2 linked regions of the Macaca mulatta genome follow. The protein of the gene in region 1 purifies or fractionates together with the protein of each later gene. This does not show direct contact. Links are inferred from orthologs where the notes say so. Each region holds a gene or a part of one and is shown on either strand. Other genes may lie near its edges.

Region 1 (4,342 bases):
ACTCTGGGATTACACCTGTAATCCCAGCACTTTGGGAGGTGCAGGTGGGACGATCACTTGAGCCCATGTCTCAACAACACTGTCTCTACCAAAAAATTTTAGCCAGGTGTGGTGGCACAGGCCTGTGGTCTCAGCTAAGAGGCTGAGGTGGGAGGATCACCTGATCCCAGGAATTTGAGGCTGTAGTGGGCTGTGATCCAGCCACTGCAGTCCAGGCTGGGCGACAGAATGGGGCCCAGTCTCAAAAATTACAAAATTAAAAAGTCACATTGTTCGCAAGATGTTTTCCCGCCTTTATCCCAGATGTGTGACCTCGAGCAAGAAAACCTTTCTGTACCCAACCGCCTCATCTATAAAATGGGGGTAATGACACCGAGGCCACAGAAGGCGACGGTGAAGTCGAGTTCCAATGCTTGATGTATACACATCCCAGGGTTTGCACTGCTGTTTGAGCCCCACGGGAGCAGGCGCTGCCTGCTAGCACCTTAGGTACCTGCATCTGACCCCCTGTTCCTGGTGCTAGCCCCGGATATTGGCAGGGTTGGCTCCTTATCTCTCAGCTTAGACTTTCTCAGGCTGCCCAGACCAACTCGCGCTCTGTCCCTATCCCTCGGATCGCCCCCTTATTCACCTCCTGCGTCCTCGCAGAAGAACTGAAGTCCTTAGAAGGCACGGCCAACCCTGTTCCCTCCCAGGACCCGAGAATGTGGCAGGGTCCCCTGATGTGCTATGTCCACATGGACACCAAGGTCAGTTCTTGGCCGAAGCGGCCAGCGCAGGGGCTGACCGCTCGGACCTCACTCCTCCCAGGGGTGAGTGGGCGACGCTGCCTCAAGTCATTGTCCTGCCCTCCAAGGTTCGCGCTCGTCCTCTGGCAGGACGCCCTGGCCCCGCAGGACGGGGGTGGCCTCCCAGGTAGGGCTGCAGTCGCTAAGTCCGAGGCGGCTGGCTCACCTCACTGAGCCCGGCTGGACATGGGGCCACCGGTCGCCGCGGCCAGGGAACCACCAAAGAGTCAGGGCGAGCCTACCGCGAGCAGCCCCCGCTCGGGCCCACGTGCCGTTCCGCGTAGGCCGGCGGCGCAGGCCACTTCCGGCAGCGGTGCACCATGGGACTTGCAGTTCGCGGGCGAAGGTTGCGTCCGGGGCGTGGCAGCCGCGCTGCATGTTGGGCGCTGTAGGCGCCGCGTGGCATGCTGGGAGCGCTAGGTACCGAAGGCAGATGCCGTCCCTTTGGGCTCGCTTCGTCCGTCGCCACCACGAGTTTCGGGGGACCTTCGCCCCACGCTATAAGAGCAGCCACTTCCGGAACTACTGGCCTTCGCCTGTGCCGCGGAAACTGTCTTGACGGGGCCGGGGGGGAAGTGTCAATGGCTTCTCCTCCATCGTCATTGGCTGAGCGCCTCGTGACGCCATTCTGAGGCGCCTCATGCGGCGCCCCGCTCGGGTCCCGGAGGCTTCTGGGTAGCGGTTTACCCCCGCCCCTTGCATCGGCGCCTTCCTTTTCCTCCCTGACACCGCCGAAGTCGCACGCGTGAGGCCTCTCCGCCGCCGCCGCAGACGCCGCCGCGTGAGTGTGATGACCCGGCCCGGGGTGCGGGCTGGGGACGCGGGGTCCGCGGGCATGCGAGGTGGGCGGCGGGGTCTTTCCGGGACGGAGGCCTACTGGTCTAGCCACACGCGGCCTCGTCCGGCGGCCCCGGGGTGGGCAGGCCGGAGGCCACCGGGATAACACCGCCGTCGCGCCCTCTCCGCCCGCCTCAGAATGCGCTACGTCGCCTCCTACCTGCTGGCTGCCCTCGGGGGTAACTCCTCCCCCAGCGCCAAGGACATCAAGAAGATCTTGGACAGCGTGGGCATCGAGGCGGACGACGACCGACTCAACAAGGTAGCTGCCGCCCTTGCCCCGCAGCCGCCGTAGAGCGCCGTACAGGCGATTTTTCTGCCTGATCCGGCCACATGCTGGAGGGTTCGGGGAGAGGCTTGTTTCAGTCCAGTCGGCGATGTCTCGGGTAGAGAAGTAAGCAGGGTGGGGGCCAGGTGCAGTGGTTCACGCCTGTAGTCCCAGTACTTTGGGAGGACGAGGCGAGCGGATCACCTGAGGTCAGGAGTTCGAAACCAGCCTGGCAAACATGTGGAAGCCCCATCTCTACTAAAAATACAAAAATTAGCCGGGCGTGGTGGTGGGTGCCTGTAGTCCCTGCTACTTGGGAGGCTGAGGCAGGAGAATCGCTTGAACCCGGGAGATGGAGGTTGCACTGAGCCAAGATCATGCCACTGCACTGCAGACTGGGCGACAGAACGAGACCCTGTCTCAAAAGGAAAAAATAAAAAGCTGGAGGGGTACGAGGCAAAGTCGTGATTAATGAGCTTTGGAAGTTTAATACAAGTGAGATGCATAAGATTCCTTAAAAAACAAACAAAAAAGGCAGTCCTGGCGAGTGGCTCACCCAGCACTTTGGGAGGCCAAGGCGGGTGGATTATTGGAGCCTCGGAATTCAAGACTAGCCTGGAAAACATCATAAAACCTGGTCTCCAGAAAAAGTTGAAAAAAAAAAAAGTTGTAGGCAGTGGTGCACATCTGTAGTCTCAGCTACTCAGGAGGCTGAGGCGGGAGGCTCATTTGAGCCTGGGAAGTCAAGGCTGCATGGAATAGTGATGGTGCCACTGCAGTCCCACAGAGCCAAGCCCTGTCTCTAAAATACAATTAAAAAAATCAAGGCCGGGCGCGGTGGCTCAAGCCTGTAATCCCAGCACTTTGGGAGGCCGAGACGGGCGGATCACGAGGTCAGGAGATGGAGACCATCCTGGCTAACACAGTGAAACCCCGTCTCTACTAAAAAATACAAAAAATTAGCCGGGCGAGGTGGCGGGCGCCTGTAGTCCCAGCTACTTGGGAGGCTGAGGCAGGAGAATAGCGTGAACCCGGGAGGCGGAGCTTGCAGTGAGCTGAGATCCCGCCACTGCACTCCAGCCTGGGCGGCAGAGCAAGACTCCGTCTCAAAAAAAAAAAAAAAAAAAAAATCAGCCAGGTGTGTGTGCTCACACCTGTTGTCCCAGACTGAGGTGGGAGAGTCGCTTGAGCCCGGGAGGTCAAGGCTGCAGTGAGATCCCACCACTGCACTCCAGCCTGAAGTCAAAGTCAGTTTCATTGACAGCTTATTTTGCCCGTGTTGAAGATACCTGTGAGTAGTCAACATTAAGCGGTGAGACATCGTGTGTTCCCTTCTCAGTCCTAAGTCTAAGAAACCTAGTGTCCATTTATTTTTATATCACTTACCAAGCGAGGGTGGTGGCTCCCTTTGGGCAGTGCAGGTCTAGAAACTTCAGGGCGTATTCCTCTGTGGGGGACCCAGTCCTGCTGTGATTCTGGAAGGGATAGGGCCAGGGATACATTTGCACTTTCCTGGTAACAGCTGTGTGATTATCTGCTCCAGGTTATTAGTGAGCTGAATGGAAAAAACATTGAAGACGTCATTGCCCAGGGTGAGTTGATGTGGAGGGGCTTTCATTTGTTTTCATGGTCCATCCTAATCCCTGCTGGTCCGTCTGTGGCCTGCCAGGTTTCGCTTGTGGACCAGAGCACCCTAGAAGCCTCACCTGAGGAGTGAGCAGGGCTCCAGTGGGCTCATGTCATGGGCGCTTCTAGACACTCCCAGGAGTAGGGCAGCAGGGGGCACCCTGTGTTCTCAGTGGACGTTTAGGTGGCCCTGCCTCTGAAGCTTGGTGTCTGGAGAACTGAGTTCATGTCAGCAGTTCTTACCGCATGCTTTCTGTGAAGGAGCTGGGGGCAGGGACTACGGGTGCCAGGGATGTTCACAGGCTTCTTGCCTCTTTGTTGGGCAGATGGTTTTTTGTTGGTGTCAGCTGAGCTGGTGGGAGTTGTTTGGAAGTTGAGCTGTTGGGGCAGCTGTTCCTGTCTTCCATGCATGTGACCAGGACAGGGCTGGCTCAGCAAACGGGCCAAGCCATGAGCACATGGCTGTGGCCAGAGATGTGGACACTGGAGCAGCATGCTCATTGTCCAGGCCGAGCATGGTGGCTCACGCCTGTAATCCCACCACTTTGGGAGGCCGAGGCGGGCGGATCACAAGGTCAGGAGATGGAGACCATCTTGGCTAACACGGTGAAACGCCATCTCTACTGAAGATATGAAAAATTAGCTGGGCGAGGTGGCGGGCGCCTGTAGTCCCAGCTACTTGGCAGGCTGAGGCAGGAGAATGGCGTGAACCTGGAAGGTGGAGCTTGCAGTGAGCCGAGATTGCGCCACTGAACTCCAGCCTGGGCAACAGAGCAAGACTCTGTCTCAAAAAAAAAAAACAACAACAAAAAACCATGTTTGT
Region 2 (4,476 bases), on another chromosome or scaffold:
AACCAAAGACATTTGCGTAGTAAGAAATACTTGTCCAGACATTACATTAGAAAGGCAAAAAAAAAAAAAAAAAGACTTTATGATTTAAAAAGCATACCTGGATCAATGATAGCCAGTGTGCACACTCTGTAGTATTTTCCGCATGCTGTGCCCAGTTCAATATTATTTCCACTGTAGTGATGGACACCAGTTTTAGCCAACATTGCATAGTACTCTATTTCAGATTTCCTTTGGGAACCAAAAAAAGGCAAATAAATAAATGCAATACCAAGTGACTGACAGACTAAATGTTACTACTTCTTTTACTAGTGTTAATGTTCTTAAGGCCTTCAAAAAGTAACAAAATCACATACTACCCTTAAAAACATCATATTCATTATCCAATATAAACCAACATTTATATGTATCCTTTGCAAGTGAAGGGGCAACCAGCAAATATCTACTCAACCCCTAACATGTTTAAGACAGTATTAATACTCACAGAAGACGGTAGGATGCAAATAAACAAAAGCAAAGCATTATTTGTGCAGTGGCACGATCTTGGCTCACTGCAGCTTCCACCTCCCAGGTTCAAGTGATTCTCCTGCCTTAGCCTCTCAAGTAGCTGGGATCACAGGCATGTACCACCACACCCAGCTAATTTTTTGTATTTTTGGTAGAGATGGGGTTTCACCATGCTGGCTAGGCTGGTCTCGAACTCCTGACCTCAAGGGATTCGCCCGCCTCGGCCTCCCAAAGTGCTGGAATTACAGGCATAAGCCACTGCACGCAGCCCTATTCTTTTTTTTTTTTTTTTAATCTAATGAAACTGAGCCACAGAATAGTAAGTGGAGGATCCAGAATCCAAACCTTTAAAAAATAAGCCATTTCTATCACTATCCCCCATTGCCCAGAATTCTAGACAGGGAGTGACACCGTTTTAAAGTTAAAATTTCTGGCCTCATGCGTGTAATCCCAGCACTTTGGGAGGCCGGATCATTTTGAAGTCAGGAATTCCAGATCAACCTGGCCAACATGGTGAAACCTTGTCTCTACTAAAAATACAAAATTTCAGCGTCAATTTAGTAGACACTAATGGTTTTAGGAATCGGAAAGGAGTCCTATACTATCTTGCCACTCAATTATGTAGATCCACATACCAGCAATAGTGCTACAATGTACTAGTTTAAAAAGAACCTCAAGCTGGTAGCTCAGGCCTGTAATCTCATCAGTTTGACAGGCTGAGGTGGGTGGATCACCTAAGGTCACGAGTTCGAGACCAGCCTGGCCAACATGGCGAAACCCCATCTCTACTAAAAATACAAAAATTAGCCAGGCATGGTGGCGGGTGCCTGTAATCGCAGCTACTCAGGAGGCTGAGGCAGGAGAATTGCTTGAACCTGGGAGGTGGAGGTTGCAGTGAGCTTAGATTGTGCCACTGCACTCCAGTCTGGGTGACAAGAGCGAAACTCTGGCTCAAAAAAAAAAGCACCTCGGGCCCCATCCCAAATCCAATGAAATCAGAACTTGCATTTTAACATTACCCATGTGACTCCTTTGCACAGTGATGTTTCAGAAGCACTACTACAGAAGACAGGCTTTAAAGTTTCAAAGAATGTTTGGGAAAAGCCCAACCCATGGGACGAGACAGAAAGGGCCCTCCAGGCTTTGACAATAACTAGACACCCTATATAAAACGCTGTAAGCAGCTTATGCATTACCACAGAAAATTTGGTCACATGGTTTATATTCTGCAAGGTCCAAGTTTCTTTAGCTTATTTACAACACCCCCTAAGTTCAATTTCAGAACAGTGAGTCAAGCATAAACCTTGACTCAGAACTGATTTAGTGGGCTAAACTAGGTGATTCTATGATAGCCTGCAACGCCATGGCCCAGCCTCAACTTTTCTTACCTAGTTTTTTGACAATAAAACAGGTTCACACAATGAAGCATCATTAGACACCTCAAAGCTAAAAGAACCAAAAAAGCAGAACACAAAATATATGGAAAAAACAAATAATGTGTCTGTGCTTCCATCAAACCCCAATGTCCTGTTTTCACTCCTCCTGCCACACACACGTTTCTCCCCCAGAAATAAGCTCACAGAAGGGGAGCACATGATTTGGGGGTGGGTGGGGGAGACGGCAACGAAGGGCCAAACACCACAATCGCTACCATAATTATCCTGCAAGTGTTCGAGTTCATGGTACTCAGATTACAAGTTTACTCTCCTGTATATTCGTTCACGATGAATTCGCGGTAGGCGACGCTCGTTCAGGTTCTTCGATTACCTCAAAGCTGGGCAGTTGTTAGCGAGAATGACCAATTTCGCTTTGCCTTGTCTGATCATCTTCAGAGTCTGCTTGTACCCCAGGACGTACTTCCCACTTTTCATAACGAGTTGGAGCCTAGAGTTGATCGACTCCAGCGACTTTTTCTACAAAGCAAACATTAAACACGGACCTAAGGGCCTCGTCTGCAACCACTTCAAAACTGGACCCAGCTTTTTGAAGCCAAGCCTCTTAACTTCCGAAGTCGAGGACCCCCAAGTCATTGAGAGGGCCACTGGGATTCCCTCTGGGGCCCTCCAAATGCCAGCAGACATGCTGTCACCCCAGTGGGCTCACATCTGCCCGCCCCGGCCGAGACATCTCTCCACGTGAATCGGCTTCCGGGCCTGGCCCGCCTCACTCACCGTCTTCTTTGCGGCCACCATCTTCCTGCCTCAGGTGCGGGACGGCCCCCAAGCTAGAAGAGACAGAGGACAGGACAGGAAGTTTAGGATCCGGAGTTCCAAATGGCAACCCGCAAAGCTCCCCGCGCTGCCTAAACCTTGGTCAGCAGGAGCCCACTCACCAAAAGCAGCCACTAAGATGGCCGGGGAGCGAGAAAGGAAGGAGTTCCCACAATGCAAAGCTCTTCACGGCAGAGCCGGAATTGCAGGACCGGAAGCGGAAACAGATCGCAAGCAGAAGGGGCGGAACAAAAAGCGGAGGGCCGCTGCGGGTTGCTATTGGTACCGCTAGCTAGAATGGCTGCGGGAGCAGTACGCGGCGTCTCATACCTTTAATCCCAGCACTTCAGGAGGTCGAGGCGGGAGGATCTGTTGCGTCCAGCTCAAGGCCAGCCTGGGCAACATAGTGAGACCACCCCCGTCTCTACAAAAAATAAATAAATAAATTAGCCGGGCGTGGTGGCGCGCTCCTGTAGTCCCAGTTACTCCTAGCTCCGCCGGAGGCTGAGGCGGGAGGATCGCTTGAGCTCTGTAGGTCGAGGCTGCAGTGGCCGTGATCGCGCCACTGCACTCGGCCTGGGCGACAGAGTGAGACTCTGTCTCAAAGAAGGGAAAAAAAGAATGGCGGCGGGGGTGTTCGCTTTCCCTCTTTGCGGGCCTTTAAGCTTCTCGGCGTTGTGTTGCTGTTGGTCTTGGAGCTGCGATCTAACGAATCGAGGAGCTTAGAACCCGGAGGGAGTTGGAAAAGCAGACTGAAGGTGAGGTGGGAGGGTCGATGAGAAGAGGCTGCGGCGGCTGCGACCACGGTCTTAATGCGACTGAATTCACCTTTTCCCTGAGGCGCGGCTCTTGGAGAGCCTTGTGGATGACTCCGCTGCGCCGCAGCCCCCGCATTTACTCTCCGCTTGGTAGAAGCAGCAGTGTCCTCACCCCTGCGGTCACGCAAGTTACCTGTCCCCTTCCCCTGGAGAGCTGTGGCGCCCTGCGCGAGTTTCCCAAAATTCGCCTTTTGTGTCTGTGTTAGCGTGAACTTGTGAGCCGAGTTTGCACTGAGAGCGCGAAAAACAGGTCTAATTTTTAAAAAGTATTTCTGCTGTTAACGCTGGATCTTGGTATAAATGTCCAGAGACAGACCACTGAAAATATTAGGCGCTGAAAATCCCCACCTAATCAATCAGACCAGTGGGTAAGCTACGTGAGGGAAACCTCTTCCCCTCCTTAATTAAGCCTCACCAAAAAACGCGTGCTGTACCAGGAATCATTTACATATATGTATTTAATACTCACAAAATTTCCATGAGATAGTAACCCTTTTATTGTCCATTTTACATATCTAGGGCTGTTGTCAGAGCTAGGACCAGAGCCCAGGTAACTTAGGTCTCTTCACAAAGTTGATTCAGGCCGGATGCGGTGGCTCACACTTGTAATCTCAACACGTTAGAAGTCCGAGGTGAGCGGATCACCTGTCAGGAGTTCGAGACAGTCTGGCCAACATGGTGAAACCCCTTCTCTACTAAAAATAAAAAAAAATAGCCAGGTGTGGTGGCTCGTGCCTGCAATCGCAACTACCTCGGGAGGTTGAAGCAGGAGAATCGCTTGAACCTGGGAGGCAAAGGTAGCAGTAAGCTGAGATCGGGCCACTGCATTCAACTGCCTGGGTGACGAAGCGAGACTCCGTCTCAAAAAAAAGTAAAAAGGCCGGGCGGGGTGGCTCACGCCTGTAATCCCAGCACTTTGGGAGGCCGAGGCGAGCGGATCACAA

What was found.
Region 2: the proteins of RPLP2 (region 1) and RPL30 fractionate together in Homo sapiens (co-fractionation; 3 studies listed by BioGRID and IntAct, with this or other methods). This does not show direct contact. The link is inferred for Macaca mulatta from reciprocal best matches to the Homo sapiens genes RPLP2 and RPL30.

What each region holds. Positions count from the first base shown.
Region 1 is NC_133419.1:702,928-707,269, forward strand, and holds the start of RPLP2 (large ribosomal subunit protein P2), read left to right. Parts: upstream 1-1,527; 5' UTR 1,528-1,569; intron 1,570-1,763; 5' UTR 1,764-1,764; coding exon 1,765-1,887; intron 1,888-3,436; coding exon 3,437-3,485; intron 3,486-3,520; exon of another isoform or gene 3,521-3,654; intron 3,655-4,342. UniProt on the Homo sapiens protein: Plays an important role in the elongation step of protein synthesis.
Region 2 is NC_133413.1:108,419,540-108,424,015, forward strand, and holds the start of RPL30 (large ribosomal subunit protein eL30), read right to left. Parts: upstream 2,875-4,476; 5' UTR 2,837-2,874; intron 2,729-2,836; 5' UTR 2,697-2,728; coding exon 2,676-2,696; intron 2,418-2,675; coding exon 2,272-2,417; intron 229-2,271; coding exon 98-228; intron 1-97.